Elephas maximus indicus: one gene and its partner. The protein of the gene in region 1 purifies or fractionates together with the protein of each later gene. This does not show direct contact. Links are inferred from orthologs where the notes say so. Each region holds a gene or a part of one and is shown in the gene's direction. Other genes may lie near its edges. The genes, in order: GNAI3 and RIC8A.

Region 1 (9,228 bases):
CCCCCCAGACCACCCCGCACCGGACGTTTGGAGGAGGGAAGGCGGCAGTGATTCTCTTGGCCGTGGGGGGACAGTTCCTGCTCTGTTGGTTGCCCTATTTCTCTTTCCACCTCTATGTTGCCCTGAGTGCTCAGCCCATTTCAACCGGGCAGGTAGAGAGTGTGGTCACCTGGATCGGCTACTTCTGTTTCACTTCCAACCCTTTCTTCTATGGATGTCTCAATCGGCAGATCCGGGGGGAGCTCAGCAAGCAGTTTGTTTGCTTCTTCAAGCCGGCTCCAGAGGAGGAACTGAGGCTGCCTAGTCGGGAGGGCTCAATTGAGGAAAACTTTCTGCAGTTCCTTCAGGGGACTGGCTGTCCCACAGAGTCCTGGGTTTCCCGACCCCTACCCAGCCCCAAGCAGGAGCCACCTGCTGTTGACTTTCGAATTCCAGGTCAGATAGCTGAGGAGACCTCTGAGTTCCTGGAGCAGCAACTTACCAGCGACATCATCATGTCAGACAGCTACCTCCGTCCTGCTCCGTCACCCCGGCTGGAATCGTGATGGGCTGCTGGACACTCAGAGGGAGATGGGCCTGGGGGCCTGTTATGATTGCAAGGACCACCTTGTGGAATCACCTGTTCCCAGCTGGCTGGAGCTGGAGGTGGGGTCTCTGCACACAGCTTTTGCTTGGCATTTCCTGGGTCAGGAATACAGCTGACAGCATGGACATGTGGCAACAGCTTTGGACTTGGCTGTGATCCTTGACTACTGGGGGAGGGAACCTGGGTATGGCGAGCTGGTGTTGAGAGAAAAGGGTCACAAAGGTGAGATGAAGCCTCTTAACCAGTGAGTTTTCCATGCCACAGGAAGCAGGGAAACTCTCTAAGTTGGTGGATACAGGGCTGTAGGCTACGTTTGGAGTTATTCTGGGGCTACTTTGGATATTTTATTTTCCAGTATAATTGTCCAGGGCGGTAATTGCATCCAAGCAAGTTAAGAAAATGACCCGTGTCTTCTCATTGCCTTGCTAGGTTTAAAACCAAAAAAAAACCAAACCCATCGCCGTTGACTCGATTTCTACGCATAGCAACCCTGTAGGACAAAGTAGAACTGCCCTACAGGGTTTCCAAGGCTGTAATCTTTATGGAAGCAGACTGCCACATCTTTCTCCCATGGAGCAGCTGGTGGGTTCAAACCGCCAACCTTTTCGGTTAGCAGCTGAGTGCTTAACCACTGCACCACCAGGGCTATTTCTTCCTAGGTTTAGAAAGAACTAAATTACAGCCAAGTGTTTCCATTCAAGCTAATAGATCTCTTTCCAGTTTTATATCTGAAATTTCCTTAAAGGGAAAGGATGAGTTGGGTATGTTCCTTCCTACCACAATTATCCAAGTTTGGCCAGAAACAAGCGGAATAGCAGTTCAGGGTACGTGGAGTAGAAGACAGGAAAGCTGACTGCAGCTCTCTCTCCCACTCTCAGGAGCAGCCCCTCTTCTTTATTTCCCTGTCACTCTGTATATGGGAGATCAAGCTTAGGGCTTGATCTCAGCAGAGGCAAGAGAATTAGATAGGATGGATGTTTCTCCTTTTTAGGATGAAGATCTTGGAAAGATTGGGAGTGGAATGGCTGAGGGTGGGAGCTAGCATTTGAATTGCTAAGGTGGCTGAGTACAAAGAGGCCAGCTAATCACCCTGATCAATAATATCGATAATCTTTCCCTTCCAGGACTGGCCTCCCTGATCTCTCTCCTCATGGCAGCGACCCACCTCCAGCCCCCTGGATAATCGGGTACAAGAGACTAAGGTTGGGCATGGAAAGGGTGGGTTTTCCATGGGCCACCGAATGCCTCTCTATAACTCATTCATCACTCTCAAAATTAGCTTCAGTGACTTAAATCTCTTCTATCTGCAGCCCTGGATTGGAGAGAAGGCACAGGAGTTGGGCTCAACTGTTCACTGATTGCGATTGGAGGAACTATTACTTGGTATTAGTGGCCAGAGCATGAACCAATCAAATTTTCAAGGAAGAGGGAGTAATTGCAAACTAGCCAGGACACCCATCTGGGACTACCTGTTCACCCTGCTTCCCCCAATTTAATCAGGTGACACACAAGGATAAGGCAGGACCAGGGGATGGCATGGTCTGTATTTGAACAAAAGCCTGGCTCATTGAGCATCAAAGGGGAAAATGGATTGGTGGGAGTGGGATAGTTTCCCCTTTGAACAGCCAATAAATAATTTTACTATAAAAAAGTTATACTGATATCAATACTGACTCCTTCAGTTCAATTCAGTGCATACTAGTTGAACACCCACTATTCTCTGGGACCCACACAAACGATGTGCGGTCACTGCTTTCAAGCAGTTCACAGTCTAATTTGATCAGATACTTTGTATTTTTACAGAGCATTGATAGCTGGTAAAGTACCATAGCAAGTATTTGAGAGATAGATTGGAGAATATGTCTGTGGTTATAACTTCTGAGAGTTTGGTCCATTGCAGAAATATATCTACACAGAGGTTTCCTGTAGATTGTGGAAAGGGTGACAGTTATAAAAGAAAACTGTCTAGTGGAGAAAATGATTAATTAAATGAACTTGGGCAAACGTAGCTTTCCCTCCCTTCATCTAGAAATATTTCTAGGTTTCTGTCTTCCTACCACTTATTACTCCAATCTAGTGCCTATTATATTGATAAAATACCTTACAAAGGTAGTATATACAGTGAAGAGAGTCCTTTGTGATTGAAAAAACATGTTTGTACTGCTCTCTCTATTCCATTTTAAGATAAAATCATACTGAGGAATCTCATTCCTAGATGAGGGAGAAATTCTTCTTCAAAACACAAGCATTGCCAGCAGGTGGCAGTGTGAGTCCAGTTGAAAAAGGAAAGGGGTGCGTGTGGTGAAGGGGAAGAGGGGGAAATTAAACCTTGCCTGGCAGCCATTTTGGTAATTTATTTTGCCCTTTTTTTGGGTTTTACCCTCTAACCTTTGTTTACATACATCGAAGAAGAAAGTTTTAAGTGCAAGGATCTCTCTAATTCAGGCTGAAATTTCCTGACACTGTGATCTCATTGGTGTTTATTACAGAGTTTGACGATGAAAATTGTCAGTTATTTTTCCTTGTCTGAGTGGATAATGAAGGAAATAAAAAATTCTCTCCTGTCATGCTGAGAATGTTCCCAACAATTTCTGCCATGACCACGTTCCAGGCGTTTTCTAGTCACTAGTTTGGCTTGATAAAGTTTGATATGTTATCTTAGCTCTGAAAACTGTTCCTGGATAAAACCTGAACGCCCTAATTCACAAAAGGCAACAAGTTGGGGCAACCATTCTGTCATTTACTTTTTCACCCACATTCTGGTGGTGTTGGGGTGACTCCCAATCTTAGATGAAAACTTTAGACCCTCTGTTGTCAGTTCTCTCCAGGCAAGATCCTATAGGGTCATGGTAGAAAAGGGACAAATTTGGAGTCAGATAGATCTACTTACTCACTGTGTGAACTTGGGAAAGCTGCTTAATTTCTCTGAGCCTATTTCCTCATCTGTAAAAATGAGGATATTACCTACCTCACAGGGTTGTTGTGAGGATTAAAAGAGATGACAGTGGAAGCACCTAGCCATACCTGGCAAATAGGTACTCAATAAATACTGTTTTTTCTTCCCCTTTCCTCTTGCCCTTTTTCCCCAGAAACACTGATTATGGTTATCCTAACAGTCGTTTGAGAATGAGTGGGAGACCTTCAAACTCTGAAGATTGGCATTGATGCGTTTTTTGGGTTAGGTTAATATGGCTCTCATGATATTGCTGTAATTAATAAATCATCACCATATAGACCTTTCTATTGGGAACCTTAGCCTCTAAGGTTTAAATTCTATTAGGGTAATTAAATAATTTTTAGTCACAGGGAAAGATTTTTTGGGAGCCACGAAAGAGTTCCTCTCCCTAGAACGTATGGTGAGAGTGTTTGTGGGGCGTTTGGCAGTAAAGGGAAGTTAAGGCCGCCTTCAACTAGTACCTGGGGTTATCAAGGAAAGGAAGTATCAGCCTGGGGTTTTCACAGGGACTTACTAATTTTCAGGTGTCACTAGAGTTGAAAAACGAGCACACAGTAAATTTAGAAGATTCACAAGATGCACTGGTTTGTTTTGGGGAGTGGGACTGCAGCTGACTAATTTTGGTAAAAGTCCTAAGCCCCTAAGCTAGACGACCATAAGAGCTAAAATTGGCTTATGTTAGAGAGGGCAGCATGGAAATTTTATGAACTACACGCGTAACTTTCAGGTTACTGGGTCTCTGCTAGAGATTGCAAGTGGTTCTTTGACAACACAGGAGCTGGGTAACTCCCCAATCCACAGAACCTCGTACGTAATGGCACGCGGACCAGAATCCATTTTGAGAGCAGGAGGTAGCGGGCCAGAGGAGAGGGCAGAAGTGGCTCGCTATAGTGTTAGATCTCAGATGTGAGGCGCGGCTGGGGACCAGGCTGCAGTTTGTTCCCTTTCTATAAATCTAGCCGAGACGACCCTGGCAGACTGTCCTATACTTGGGCAGCGGCCAGGATCTCCAAGGCCAGCGATCAAAGGCTCACTGGCCTGCACCCAGCAAAGCCTTCCGTGCGGGCTGTAGGCTCTTAGCTGAGAATCTCTCCCACCATCCTGCCCCGTCCAAACCCGTCTGTGGGATCTCAGAAAGGCGCCTATGAAATACAGAAGCCAGACCCAGGATTTTCTACATTTATTTAAATAATATAGAAAAGCAAAAGGCAGACGAAAAGGGAAAAAGAGACTAAAGACGGACTAGAGGTGTGCACCCAGCCCACAAATCCATAACCTGAGCCTACCGCCCCCTCCCCAGTACTTCCGCTTTTGGTAGCACCTCCCCTCCCGGAGCTAGAGCGGTTTGAGAAGGGACGGCCGTAGGGCATCACCGGAAGTGTCGCAAACGCCGGATATCCGGTTCCTCTGGGCGCTCCGGGAGCTGAGACTGAAGAGGGACGCCGCCCAGCAGCAGGCGCCGTCTCAGTCGCCCGAGCCGCAGTCGCCGCGGTGTGTGAGTGAGCCCGGATACGGTCCCCTCTCCCGCCGCCGCCATGGGCTGCACGTTGAGCGCCGAAGACAAGGCGGCGGTGGAGCGGAGCAAGATGATCGACCGCAACTTGCGGGAGGACGGGGAGAAGGCGGCCAAGGAAGTAAAGCTGCTCCTGCTTGGTATGGGGCCGTGGGCGTGGCTGGCGGGGTGGTTGGGAGGCCCTGGGCACTTGGAAAATCTGAGGGGGGGTCAGGCCGGGCCGGTGTAAAGGACTCCGGAGAGATCTAGAGGGCTTGACGGGCTTGGGGCGGGTATTTAGGTTGGTGTCTGAGGCCCCGGAGGGCGTGATGAGGGGGTGGGGTTTGGGGTTGTAGGAATTAAGCTGTAGAGGGTGTGACTCCGGGCTGGAATTGGGTTTAGCGTAGAGAGCTTCGGAATGGGGCGGTACCGTAAAGAGACTGTTAGGAATATAGGAAATACTCATAAAACAGCTGATATTAGGGAAACTTTTGTATGGATTTGCAGTGTTTTGATAGCAAGGAGTTCGGGATACAGTGTAATGTGTAGGGTTTGTATAATGGTTTGCGAATTTGAAGCGTAGTGGTACTCTTAGAATAGAGCTGGGAAACTTAGAGTAATTAATATAAATAGAGAGGTTGGGGCAGAGCGATCACATAAGGACTCTGTCATTAGAGAGTGGGCATTTTGAACTGTTGGTAAGTGGAGGGAACTTGGATTATCCAGGAACATAAAGGTGGGTGACAGGTTATCGGGTATGAACGAAGAGAGCTTGGGTGCTGAGGCCGTCTTTATACTTGTCCTGCGTTTTCTATCATTTTTATTCTCTTAAATTTTACAGCCCCCTCCCCTGTTTTTATAAAGGGGGGATGTAGAGAGCTGGGGAAATTTAAAGAATGGCTTGGTTGAGATTTGTGGCAGTTGAGGTAGTGGACATAGATTATCTATTGGGAGTTGCTCAATAGTTGGCTAGGGGTGATGTGCAGTGTGAATGAAGGAGTTAGGAAAAGTTAAGAAATTGGACATATTTCTTCTAAAGACCGACAGATCTATGGTGAACTGTTTTATCTTTTTTGGTTTCTTCGAATAAAAAATATTGGCTTTAGGCATTACTTTTTATGATGCTACCTGACATTTTTAAAAAATAGCTTTTACGGACCATCAGGTGCATTTTGCTCAGCAGGTTTAGTTTTACAATTTTTGAGAGACTGGCTTCTAGAGGCTCAGTAAATCATATGAAGTACCTTGGCATTAGTTTACCAATAAATCGAGCCACATTTCTTCACTATTAATATTTTCTAGGGACCCATTAGAGAAGAATAAGAATAAAGTGGTTTCTTAAGCAATAGAACAGCTTAATTTTTAAAACAGTTGACTTTTGAGAAAAAGTAGCTGCTTTAGGGGAAGTGCCAAATTTTCATAGTGTAAAACAGACTCAGAGGACAGAATGCACCACCATAATCCAAGGCTTGTTTTAGTTTGAACTTTGGGACGTGCTGGCTGCACCTGCTAGTCTCTTCTTGTTAACATATTTGTTTGTCTGTTGATCGCAGAAGCCCTGGTAATAGCTTTTTTGGATATAAGGGGAAAACTGCATTGGATTTTGAGCTTCCAGTTTGACTGCCTAAACTTTCAGAAGGCACAAATTCAGATTTAGTTCAAGATTTCCACGGTCTATGTAATAGATAAGGAGCCCTGGTTCCGCAGTGGTTAAGTGCTTGGCTTCTAGCCGAAAAGTCAGTGGTTTGAACCCACCAGCCGTTCTGCGGGACAGCGATGTGGCAGTCTGCTTCTGTGAAGATTTACAGTCTTGGAAGCCCTACGGAGCAGTTCTACTCTGTCTTGAAGGGTCGTCGTGGGTTGGAATCGACCTGACGGCGGTAGGTATGTAACAGGTGTTGTTGTGGATGAGCACAGTCCCTGGCACATAGTAGGTGCTGCTTAAACATTTGCTGCTAATCAGCCTGAGCCAGCTAATGTTGGACATTGGTCCTGGGGCCTTTCAGATGTTTGGTACAAAGTATAACAGTGAAGGCATTTTCTATATTGATAGGTTGGTTATGAGGTTAAAGGTGCATTCTCGGCTTCTGTGAGTGTTTTGATTTACATTGGCCGTCGGAGATCCCTTGGGCCGTTAGCCTGTTTTAATATAGTTGTAAACTATGAGACTTTCTTCCAAATGGCAAGACTTAGCAGGCAGAACTCAGGCAAGTAGAACTCGTTCAGATGTTTAGAAAAATCTTTATTCGGGACTTTATAAATATTACATTTAATTAAAAACAAAAGCATGTGATGATTTAGGAAACTTGAAAAGCAGTAAATAAAAATCAAAGTATTAAAGCATTTGTTTTTAATTTTTATCACTTCATTTTTAAAAAAACTTTGTTGTTTTTGAAAATATACACAGTAAAACATATACCAGTTCAACCGTTTCTGCATGTACAATTTAGCGACATTGGTTACATCCTTCGAAATGTAATTCAGATATAATCATTTTTGAAATGATTGTGCAATCATTTTCACCTTCGTTTTAAGTTTTAAAGTTTATCTCAGGGCAGTAGTATCAGGGGTTCATCTAGCCCCCATGGCTCTAGAAAGTCTGGAGTTCCATGAGAATTTGAAATTCTTTTCCGTAGAATCTTTGATCGAAATGTTCAGCAGTGATAGCTGGGCATCATCCAGCTCTTCTGGTCTTTTGGCAGAGGAGGCATTAACTTCATTGTTTTTTACGTAAGTTTTTTTTTTTTTTTTGTATCCTTGAGCAAGTTAAATCAACAAATTCAAACAGGTTCCAGAGAGATGTTCTTGCTTGAGCCGGATGATGATGCACATGTGAAGTTAAAACTGCCTTCCTTGCTATTTATGTAAAATGTACTCATCGCTGTATGTGATTTTTTTTTTTTTTTGCTGTTGAGTACGTTCTTTGATGTACATGTGAGTCATTTTTACTTCATCACTCTGAAACTATCAAACTTAGTCTAACTTGAGATCTATCTCTATTACCTTTGTCTTCCCTGGGACATGATAGGTGCTCAGTAAGTAGTAATATATTTTTGTTGTCAAAGGGATGTCGTTTAGCCTAGTGGTTAATAGTCTGAAGTCAGACTGCTTGAAAACCTGATTCCCACTTACTAGCTATAACCTTGGGAAAATTCATTTATTTCTCTCTGCCTCAGTTTCCTCATTTTTAAAATGGAGAAGATAAAGGTACTTCATAGGATTGCTGTGAGGATTAAATACGATAGGGTAAAGTGGAATACAGTCTGGCACATAGTACTAGCTCAGTGAGTATTAGCTATTGTTGTTATTATAAAATCGAAATGAATGTTATAGATTATAAATACTGTAGAAATTTAAATAAGGAAACCAGTGTGGGCTAAAATAGCTAAGGAAGACTTCAGTACTGTAATTTTCTCTGCTGTTTGCCTGTTTTTGAATTTTCTTTAGGTGTTATTGGGAAGATCTCGATACGCCAAACTTGTGTTCAATCACAATATTCTACTGAAAGGCAAAATCATGCAAAGCTTCCTAGCCAGTGTGCTGGCACATGGAATGGTTTATTGGTGTGCTGTTTGAAAATTTGTTATAGCGTTGAAATTTTGTTTTAATTAATAGTGTTGAAATTGTAAATCCTTCTTATAACTTTTCAGAATTTTAAAACAGTTATGCTATTTTAACATTTTTGGTGATTCTCTCTATAAACTTTCTGAATTTGATAATTGGAAAATATTTTATTTGGAAGGATTGTATTTCTGGTCATAATTCATAATATAGAGAAATATATATATATATTTTACCAAGCCTCTCTAGTTTACTCCAATGAGCCTTACAAATATTATTATTTTCAATGTGTGCCATGATGTGACAAAGGTTGGGAAGCACTGGTATAGTGGATAAGAGCCTTCCCTTTGGATTCACACAAAACTGTTCAAATCCTATCTCCACTCGCTAGCTTTGAGACCCAGAGCAGGTAACTTAACCACAGAAAGGTAATTGTCATGTATGTTGAGATGAAGATGATGCCTTCTTCATAAAATGAAAGAGATAATGTATGTAAAGTGCTTAGCAGTAACGCATCTTGTTGTCATCGTGTGCCATCAAGTTGATTCCGACTCATAGCAACCCTATAGGACATAGTAGAACTGCCTGCCTAGTGAATAATAAATACTGAGTAAATGGCAACTCCTGTTATTA
Region 2 (9,309 bases), on another chromosome or scaffold:
GGACAGAGTGCAGGATAGAGGGGTGTAGGGCAGGGACAAAGGTGAGGGGTAGACGGAGGGTGGGGGGACAGAGCAGGGCACGGGGGCAGGGATGGCGGTACAGGACAGGTACTACGGGGTGCGAGGCATGGAGAGGGTACGGGGCAGGGACTGGTATGTGGGGATCAGAGATGACCATGCGGGAGGGTGGGCACAAGCCAAACACAGGGTGTGGGCAGGGGACACAGCTGAGGTGGGGAAGGCTGTAGGCCCCTACCATGCTGTCCAGGTAGTGGTTCTGGTCCTCTGCATCCCTGTCAATGTCCAGGGCCAGCTGGTCAGGGCACAGAGAAGGCAGGCTCAGGCCAGGGCCACAAAGAGTGGGCGGTCCCCACCCTCCCTGCAAGACTAGCCAGACCTTGCCAGCAAACCGGCAGGACATGGGTGCCGCTGGCAAGGTCAGGTGTCACCCAGAACCTGTGTGGTAGGTAAGCATGGATGGGGTGAAGAGAGGGATACACTGCCTGGAACCCCCCTCCAGCTGGCTGCCCTCCCTCAGGTCCTGCCCACAACTGCACAGACCGACTTGAGCCGGGTGACCTTGGAGGCCAGGTGGTCTGCCATCCGCTTGTTCTCCTGGTCCAGAATTTCATCCACAGCCCCAGGGCTCTGAGCTGCAGAGAGAGAGAGGGAGGGATCGCATCACCAGTGGAAGCCCCAACCCTGGAACTCGGGGAGCCGACTCTCTGCGCCTTCATCCATCCCACTGGACCCAGGTAGACATGTCAGTGGGCCTGAGTCCCCTCCATCTGTGACCTGCTGGGCAGGTGTGGGTCCTAACCTGCTGGGCAGGTGTGTCCTAGTCTAGGTTCCAGTGTGAGGTCCGCAGGTCTTTCCCATAGGACAATCTGTGCAACAACGTGCGAGTGCACATCCCATGTACATGCCCGCGCAGGACGCATGGAACGCCCCCCCGTGTGCCCCCGACGGGCTTGTCCAACCAGCACTTTCTAACCTGACTCTGCCAGGACCTGGACCAAGCCCAGGGGTACTGGGAAGACACAACACCTGCCTGTGTGTTCTTTATGTTCACCAGACAATCCTCAAGAGCAACCTGGAAGGACCCCTGGAGGGTACAGGGAAGCTCCTGTGTGGGCGGCCATGAGCTGGGTCCTGAAGAGGTGACAGGTGGCCGGGGACCTTGGGTAGCCTTTCACACATGGGAATGGTCAGGAGCTGAGATACCTGACCCCAAGGGCATAGCTGGGTCTGTGCACTGTGTTTGCTCCCCATTGTGACTGCCTGTGGCCCGACAAACCCATTTTCCACTCTCCACTTTGGGGCTGGGCCAGGAGATGCAGGATTCGCATCACAGCGGGTGGATGAGAATCGTCGCCCCGCGCACACCTCACGCACCTGGGTCAATGACGTCTACGTGACCCACTGGAGTGCAGCACAGCCCCACAGGAATGACGTGTAAAGACCCCTGCTGCAGTACAGTGAATCGCTTAATATGGCCCTTCTAGTCAACAGTTTTTGTAACTGCAAATAAGGTGCTTATGACCTGCCAAGACGATTGGATAGCTTACTGATCATGCAAATAAGGTGCACAGGACCCTACGGAGGTGTGATCATGCTAATAAGGTATATAAAACCCTAATAAGGGGACTGGTCAGTTTTGCCATCCAGCTGGACTTAAACAAGCAGTCAATTCCAGAGCAGAGTGGGGTTCTCACTACCACCAAAAAAGAGCTAGGAGTGGAGCGCATCCTTTGGACCCGGGATCCCTGCTCTGGGAACGTCCTGGACCCCGAAGACAGAGAGAGAGAGCTGTTAACACTGGAGATAGCAAGAAGCAGTGGCAGCAGAGGCAGCAGAACCAGGAGACTGGCAGGAGACGGTGCAGTGGGCTTGCCCACCCACAGAGCCAGAGAGCTAAGCGTCTTCCGGCACAAGGCTTCCTGGCGGACTGGGGTGCCTCCAGGTATTCGCTGGCAGAGCTAAAAGAGCTTTGTAACACTTGGATGAACAGGTCAGAGGCGGGGGGGCGGGGGGCAGAGAAAGGCCTGTGGCAAAGAGGCTGTCTTGATCCCAGAACTGTATCCTGAGCGTTCCTGATCCTGAATTGTAACCCATTACTTCCCTAACAAACCTTAACTACCTACGAGTCTATGAGTCCTGTGTGATCATTGCAACCAATTATCGAACCCAACAGAGGAGTACAGAGTGCCGTGGGAGGGGCAGCTGGTGTCAGAATTGGTAAAAGGGTTGATGGGTGGAGGCATGTCTGACCTCCACCTCAACGCAATCAGCCTTGTGCTGCTGGTGCTGACCTTTCTCCTTCCCACTTGTGAAGTCAGAGGAGGTCAGAGGCCCCGCCACACCATTTTACACCCGGGGAAGGAGAGCCAATTGTGCGAGGCATCTTTCATGTTCTCTACGCCTTTACGCGTCAGGACAGTCCAATGGGACAGGTATCAGAACCCCACTTAACAGACGGGAACACCGAGTCGGTACACAGCCCCCCTTAACAGACGGGAACACCGAGTCGGTACACGGCCCCGCTTAACAGACGGGAACACCGAGTCGGTACACAGCCCCCCTTAACAGACGGGAACACCGAGTCGGTACACGGCCTGTCTGGACCCTCCCACCGCACAGCCTCGACTCGGAGGCTCACGGGTCCTCGCACCAGCCTCTCGGACAGTCGCCGGGTGGCCCGTCCGAGGCCCCATCCTAGGCCCCAGGGGCCCTGGGCGCCGCACGAGTGGGTGCGGGGTACGCTCTGCGGCCGGGACCGAGCGGCAGGGCCCTCAGCGCCCGCGGAGTGCGGCCCGCTCCCGCCCGGGGAGGCCCCGGAGCCCCGGCTCCGCCCGCCGCGGCGGGGTCGCTCCCGCGGTGTTGCCCCGGTTCCGGCCCCGCCCCCCGGTTCCAACAGCCGTGCTTCCCGGCGCGCACCTCTAGCCCAGTCCGCCATCGCGCCCAGTTCCGGCCCGGGCCTCGGTCCCCGGTTGGGCCGCCGCCGCCGCCTCCACGGACGTGGCACTGGGCACCGGAAGAGGCTTCCGGCCCCCACTGAGCCGTGGCCCCGCCCCGACCGGCCACAGCCCCGCCCCTTCCGCCAGAGCCTCGCTCGACTTCCGGCTGAAAGGAGGCGGAAGTGAGTTCAAGTTGGCTTCAGAGCCCGCGAAATGGGGGCGCGGCGGGGTTGTTTGCTTTTGGTACCGCTTGGTTGCCTTCTATTTTTAATGGCAAATCATGGTCCCCGAAAGGCTCTTCTCTCGGTTATTCCAACCAGAGGTGCATCAGGCAGTAACGTAGCGCCAGGCTAGCCAGTAAATACCGGGCAGCTTTTACAGGCTAGGTGCGGGTGGCGTCCCGCCTGCCTGCCTGCGCTCCGCTCTGGGCCGGGCTCCGCGACCGGGGCGCCCACCGTCCTAGTGCTGCAGACAAGCCAAAGCTGCGGCGCGTTAGGGACAGCATCGCCCTGGTGTGGCCTGGGGATGGTTAACCTCTGCACACCAGCTCGCATCTACAGAGCTGACAGTGCTTAGGACAGTGCCTGCACCGAGGAAGCTCTGTGTGTTTGTTAAAGTAGAGGCGTGAAGAATCGTGGAAAAAATAAAGCAAGGAATAGGGGTATTGGTGATAGGTGGGGACTTTGAACTTTGTCCCTAACAAAGGGCCTGGCACGAAGTAGATGCTCAATGTTTATTGAAAGAATAGATGGGTGGATGCGCCGTATTTATAAGTTACCCACCGTTACGGACCATTTTCTGTGTGCGAAACACTACGTTGAGTGCTTTGCACTTAAATGCATTTAATCCTCATGATAACCCATTGAGACGGGCACTTTTATTATTCCTGTTTTACACAAAAAGAAAACCGCGTCCAGGCTGGGCACCAGGTCTGGGTTACACATGGAGGAAATCGCCGCACACGGTCAGGCTCCCCTCTTCATCCCTGACCTCTTCCCCACTCCCCCTCGTCTCAGCTCCAACGGTAACTTCCTTTCCCCATCCCACCACGGTCATTCCCACTCTTGGACAAGCTATTCCTTCTGCCTTGAACGACCCCTCTCAGGCCTTTTCCTGGCCCCTGTTCTTGTCATTCGTCTCAGCAAGAGGGTCACTTCTTCAGAGCCTTTTGCAGCCCACCATGCACTGGAGATCACAGGACTCTTGGCTGCTTTTTGAATCATGGCACTTATGACCGCCCAGTCATTTGTTTTTCCTGGTCTGTCTTCCTCTCTAGAAGACGAACTTCAGAAAGGCAGGGACCCTAGCACCTCGCATGAAATAGGAGCTCAACAAAATCCTGTTTATCAAACCAATTGGCCCCAGGACTACAAAGTTCCACCTCGGTTGTCCCCCTCCCATTCGTTCGGTGGATCAAGAAGGGCGTTAGTGTGTGCGTGTCGCGGGTGGGGGGACGAGGCCCTCTCCTGTTGGAAATTCTGGCCCAAGGAGCAGTCGGGGGGTGGGCCATGGTTCTGCACTGAGCGACTCGGACTCTGAGGTCAGCCGATAACCAAGCCGGGTCTCGTAGCCTAGTCGACTTCAAGGCCACCAACACCACCCGGACCTCTCCGCGGCTCCGCGCATGCCCCGTCCAGGCCCCTCCCGCGGCTCTGCGCATGCCCCGTCCAGGCCCCTCCCGCGGCTCTGCGCATGCCCCGTCCAGGCCCCTCCCGCGGCGCCGCGCATGCCCCGTCCAGGCCCCTCCCGCGGCTCTGCGCATGCCCCGTCCAGGCCCCTCCCGCGGCGCCGCGCATGCCCCGTCCAGGCCCCTCCCGCGGCGCGCGCATGCCCCGTCCAGGCCTTCCCCGTGGCGCGCGCACTTTCGGTCCCGGCCTCCCCCGCGCGCGTGACGCTGGGTCGGGAGGCAGGGCGGGGTCGGCTCCGCGGCTCGAGGGCCTTCCGCTCGCCGACTGGAGCCTCCCCGCGCCGGTCCCAGCGACGCCATGGAGCCCCGGGCGGTTGCGAATGCCGTGGAGGCGGGGGAGGAGGCCGCAATGATGGAGGCCCTGCGGACGTACAACCGGGAGGTGAGCGCGAGCCTTTGACGGGCCGGGCACTACGGTGGGCGCGCCGCGCGGCGGGGCTGAGCCTGCGGGACGGGCTGTGGGGGCGTCTGCGGGCGGGGGGGCGCGGTGGGGGGCGTCTGCGGGCGGGGGGGCGCGGTGGGGGCGCGCGGTGGGGGGCGTCTGCGGGCGGGGGGGCGCGCGGTGGGGGGCGTCTGCGGGCGGGGGGGCGCGGTGGTGGCATCTGCGGGCGGGGGGGCGCGGTGGGGGGCGTCTGCGGGTGGGGGCGCCGGGCCCAGCCGCCTGCTCAGAGTCGAGGCCGATGCTGCCGCCCCCCTGCGGGCGCGGTCCTGCCCCGGCTGGGGAACCTGAACGTCGTGATCCCTTGATCTCTCTCTGCAGAACTCGGAGAGCTTCACGTTTGAGGACGCGCAGCGGGAAGACAGGAAGGTGGGTGCTGGCCGGGGGTGGGGGGCTGGGCGGGGGCGGGCCTGGTGGAGCTGCTCCTCTCTCTGCAGAGACTGGCCGGCCTGCTGGTGTCGGCCCTGGAGCAGGGCCTGCCGCCCTCTCGACGCGCCACTTGGCTGCAGAGCCTTCGCATCCTGTCCCGGGACCGCGGCTGCCTGGACCTGTTCACCAGCCGCCCGAGCCTGCAGGCCCTGGCTCGCTGTGCTGGCATCTTCGTGTCCGAGGGACCTGACCCTGAGTCTCCAGACATGGACATTGTGCTTGAGGCCCTCAAGTGCCTCTGCAACCTCGTGCTGAGCAGCCCCGCGGCACAGGCGTTGGCTGCCCAGGCCTGCCTGGTAGTAAGGCTCTCAGAGCGTGTGCGGCTCTCCGGGCAGCGGAGCTTCCCGCATGATGTCCAGTTCTTTGACTTGCGGCTACTCTTCTTGCTGACGGCACTGCGCACTGACGTGCGCCAGCAACTGTTTCGGGAGCTGCAGGGGGTGCGCCTGCTGACCCATGCGCTGGAGCTGACGTTGGGGGCGTCCCCAGAGGAGAGCCCCCCTGAGTTCCTCCCTGCACAGGAGACAGAGCGGGCCATGGAGATCCTCAAAGTTCTCTTCAACATCACCTTCGATTTGGTCAAGCAGGAGGTGGATGAGGTGAGGGCTCAACTCACAGGTGCCTTTGATTTTGTGGGCATCAGATGAGAGAGGATTGGGGTTCCTGCCTCTTGGAGAAGAGGAGGGTCCCTTTTGAGGAGGGGCCTCAAGGAAGGCATTGGAGGGAGGCTGCGAGGGGAGGTGGTTTCTGGTTCTCCAGGCCCAGCAGGAACCAGAGTATGTGGTAGGAGAGGAAACAGGATTTCATCCCAAGGGACTGTGTTGACGTTCTTAGTTGGAAAAGTGCTGTTAGGAAAAGAGTAGAGGCTATTTAGCCCCACTGTTAGTAAAGTAAAGGTCACATTGGAGAGGACAAGGGCCCAGGACTAGGCTTGTTGGTAGGCTCAGTGGATGGAAGAGCCTTAGCTGGCAACAGCACGGGAGTGGGGTTCTTCTCTCCTCTAAGAACATGTTTCTGGTTAGGATGATGCTGCCTGTTACCGGCATCTGGGGATCCTTCTGCGGCACTGTGTGATGGTCTCGGCTGCCGGCGACCGCACGGAGGAGTTCCACGGGTGAGGGAGGGGCTTGAGGTGGGTAAGTGGGGGTGTGGGGTATGGGTTACAGGTGGGCGGGGCCTTGAGGTGGGTGGGTGGGGCTGTGGGTGGGGCTTCAAGGTAGATGGGGGTGGTGTGCATGTGGGCCTGCCTTGGCTGGGAAGGGGATGCTCAGACAGGGTTCTCAGTCTTGGCTGTGGATCGGGAGGCGGGGCAAAGAGAGCAGAAGGGACCCACCCTAGAGTCTGATTTCACCTGTCTGAGTGAGGTGGGCAGCAGCACCATTCAGAAATACCTGGGTATTCCTGGCACCACCAGGATCAGTCAGGGGAGGCGCTGACGCCTGGACCTGGGCTGATGAGCAGCCTCACGTGTGGTCTGAGAAGGGTGGCAGCTAGGACTGCACTTGCCGGACAGTTGTCCTAATTAAACCCCATCTGTCTGCAGCCATGCAGTGAATCTCCTGGGAAACTTGCCACTTGAGTGCCTTGACGTCCTCCTCACTCCGGAGCTGCACACAGGCTCCCTGGAGTTCATGGGAGTGAACATGGACGTGATTCATGCTCTCCTTGACTTCCTGGAGCGGCGTTTGGACCAGGTAGGCAGGAGGGACTGCTGTGCAGGCCCCTGGGGGTCTGACCTGGCTTTTCCCTGCTTCTTCACCACCAGCCCTGGTGCATGGAAGTCTCTGATGTGAGTCGGGCATTCCCTCCAGTGCCCATGGTTCTTCTTGAGAAGCGTGTGGAGCCCTTTCTTCTGAAGGTTTCACTCTTGATTGGTGGAGGGTCTGAACAGTGGACCCTCTGTGGGTACACTAACTGGTTTACAAAGTCCAGTGTGGTGCTTGTCCTTGTAATTTTTTTATGGTTGTGGGTCTCTTTTGTGTGGTCCTGGGAAATGCCCAGTCCATGTGCATGATGCTTAAACGTTGGTGTCACTGTGCCCACCAACCCTTTGTTGTCCCTTGCTGCCCCCTGCCTCATCCTCTCTTGGCCTCCCTAAGGCAGAATCTGTAGGAGTCTTGGGCCAGTGGGTCCTTCTCATCACTGCGGGGACGCCCCAGGAGGCCGGGTGGCTGGGCTTCAACAGATTTCCAGGAGCTTGCAGTGTCATGTAGCAGGACAGGCTCGATACTCAGAAGATTCCAGAACCCACAGCGCCTGGGGAAGGGTGCTCAGGTGCAGTGTGAACCATGGGGCACATCTGCACTACGTGTGCCTGTTGTGCAGACGCGAGCGCTAACTTGAGGCCGTAGTGTGAGAAGCTACAATCAAGGAAACAGAGCGCCTCACGTGAACTGCTACTTGTTCCGATACAAATGTTTAAGCATCCGCCTTAAATTATCTAAAAGGTTACTCACGTGGAAAAGGGAACAGTAGAATGCGTGTATGGGTGTTTTCACAAAAGATAAAAATGCGGACAGAAGACCAGGCAAAGTCTCGGGTCTCGCTGGCCTGAGGGACTGGGTACGGGCTGTGGGGGTTTCTGTTTGGAGCAGGCCCTGCTATACAGTTGGTGCTTCAGGTCCTCTGCAAGACCCACCCCCCCTCCCCCGCCGCCGCCAAGGTCCCACTTTTGTTCCCAAGCCCCTGTCATCAGGACCTGCAAGCCAGTGGGGCCAGGTAGGTGACAAAGGCTTCTCCACAGACGCACCGGCTGAAGGAGAGCGTGGCTCCTGTGTTGAGCGTGCTGACTGAGTGTGCCCGTGCACACCGCCCAGCCAGGAAGTTCCTAAAGGCCCAGGTATGGGGTCCTAGGGGCAGGGGCAGGCCTGGGCACAGACCGCACCATGCTGCGCCCAGGCTAAGGGACGGGCCACTCCCCAGGTGCTGCCCCCGCTGCGGGACGTGAGCACCCGCCCCGAGGTGGGGGGACTGCTGCGCAACAGGCTGGTCCGCCTCATGACACACCTGGACACTGACGTGAAGCGCGTGGCTGCTGAGTTCCTGTTTGTACTCTGCGCCGAGAGTGGTGAGTGGGGGCTGGGCACCTACCCCTCCCACAGCCGTGGCTGGCTCTGACCTCCACCTGCCTTCAGTGCCCCGATTCATCAAGTACACGGGCTACGGGAACGCCGCCGGTCTCCTGGCTGCCAGGGGCCTCATGGCAGGGGGCCGTGCCTCAGGCCAGTACTCGGAGGACGAGGACACAGACACGGAGGAGTACAAGGAAGCCAAGGCCAGGTGTGCTGCCCTGGCCCACACCACCCGTCTGTGGGGTGGGACGGGGGTGGAAGCAGCTTCTTCCCCTGAGTGGCATCTGTCTTGAGATCCAGGTCAGGGGCGGGGCCTGTCTGGGTAGGTGGTCTGTACGTGGGAGCCCCTAACTGCTGGGGGAATTTCGGGAGCCCACTGTCCCTCCAGCCCCTCCCATCCTGGTTGGGCACTAACGCCGTGCCCCCCTGGAAGCAGCATAAACCCCGTGACGGGGAGGGTGGAGGAGAAGCCACCCAACCCCATGGAGGGTATGACAGAGGAGCAGAAGGAACATGAGGCCATGAAGCTGGTGAACATGTTTGACAGGCTTTCCAGGTGAGTGGCGGGCAGGGAGCCCTCCCTGAGGCATCTTCCCAGAAGGGCTGCATTCTTCATCAGTCTTGATGAAAACTGAGGCCTGGGGAGATAAGTGACTGCCTACAGTCTCAAAGCCAGAAGGGGGCAGTTAGGGTTCAGCCCAATGGATACAAGGTTCTGCCCAGGCT

Evidence for each region.
Region 2: the proteins of GNAI3 (region 1) and RIC8A purify together in Homo sapiens (affinity purification with mass spectrometry; 3 studies listed by BioGRID and IntAct, counting the BioPlex papers as one, with this or other methods). This does not show direct contact. The link is inferred for Elephas maximus indicus from reciprocal best matches to the Homo sapiens genes GNAI3 and RIC8A.

Annotation. Positions count from the first base shown.
Region 1 is NC_064821.1:172,028,197-172,037,424, reverse strand, and holds the start of GNAI3 (guanine nucleotide-binding protein G(i) subunit alpha-3), read left to right. Parts: upstream 1-4,940; 5' UTR 4,941-5,077; coding exon 5,078-5,195; intron 5,196-9,228. Other genes in the region: GPR61 (G-protein coupled receptor 61), read left to right, coding at 1-545. UniProt on the Homo sapiens protein: Heterotrimeric guanine nucleotide-binding proteins (G proteins) function as transducers downstream of G protein-coupled receptors (GPCRs) in numerous signaling cascades.
Region 2 is NC_064825.1:138,015,033-138,024,341, reverse strand, and holds the start of RIC8A (synembryn-A), read left to right. Parts: upstream 1-4,808; 5' UTR 4,809-4,942; coding exon 4,943-5,026; intron 5,027-5,404; coding exon 5,405-5,452; intron 5,453-5,520; coding exon 5,521-6,111; intron 6,112-6,534; coding exon 6,535-6,626; intron 6,627-7,055; coding exon 7,056-7,206; intron 7,207-8,255; coding exon 8,256-8,351; intron 8,352-8,434; coding exon 8,435-8,579; intron 8,580-8,646; coding exon 8,647-8,791; intron 8,792-9,019; coding exon 9,020-9,139; intron 9,140-9,309. Other genes in the region: BET1L (BET1-like protein), read right to left, coding at 257-313, 562-653, 2,938-2,956.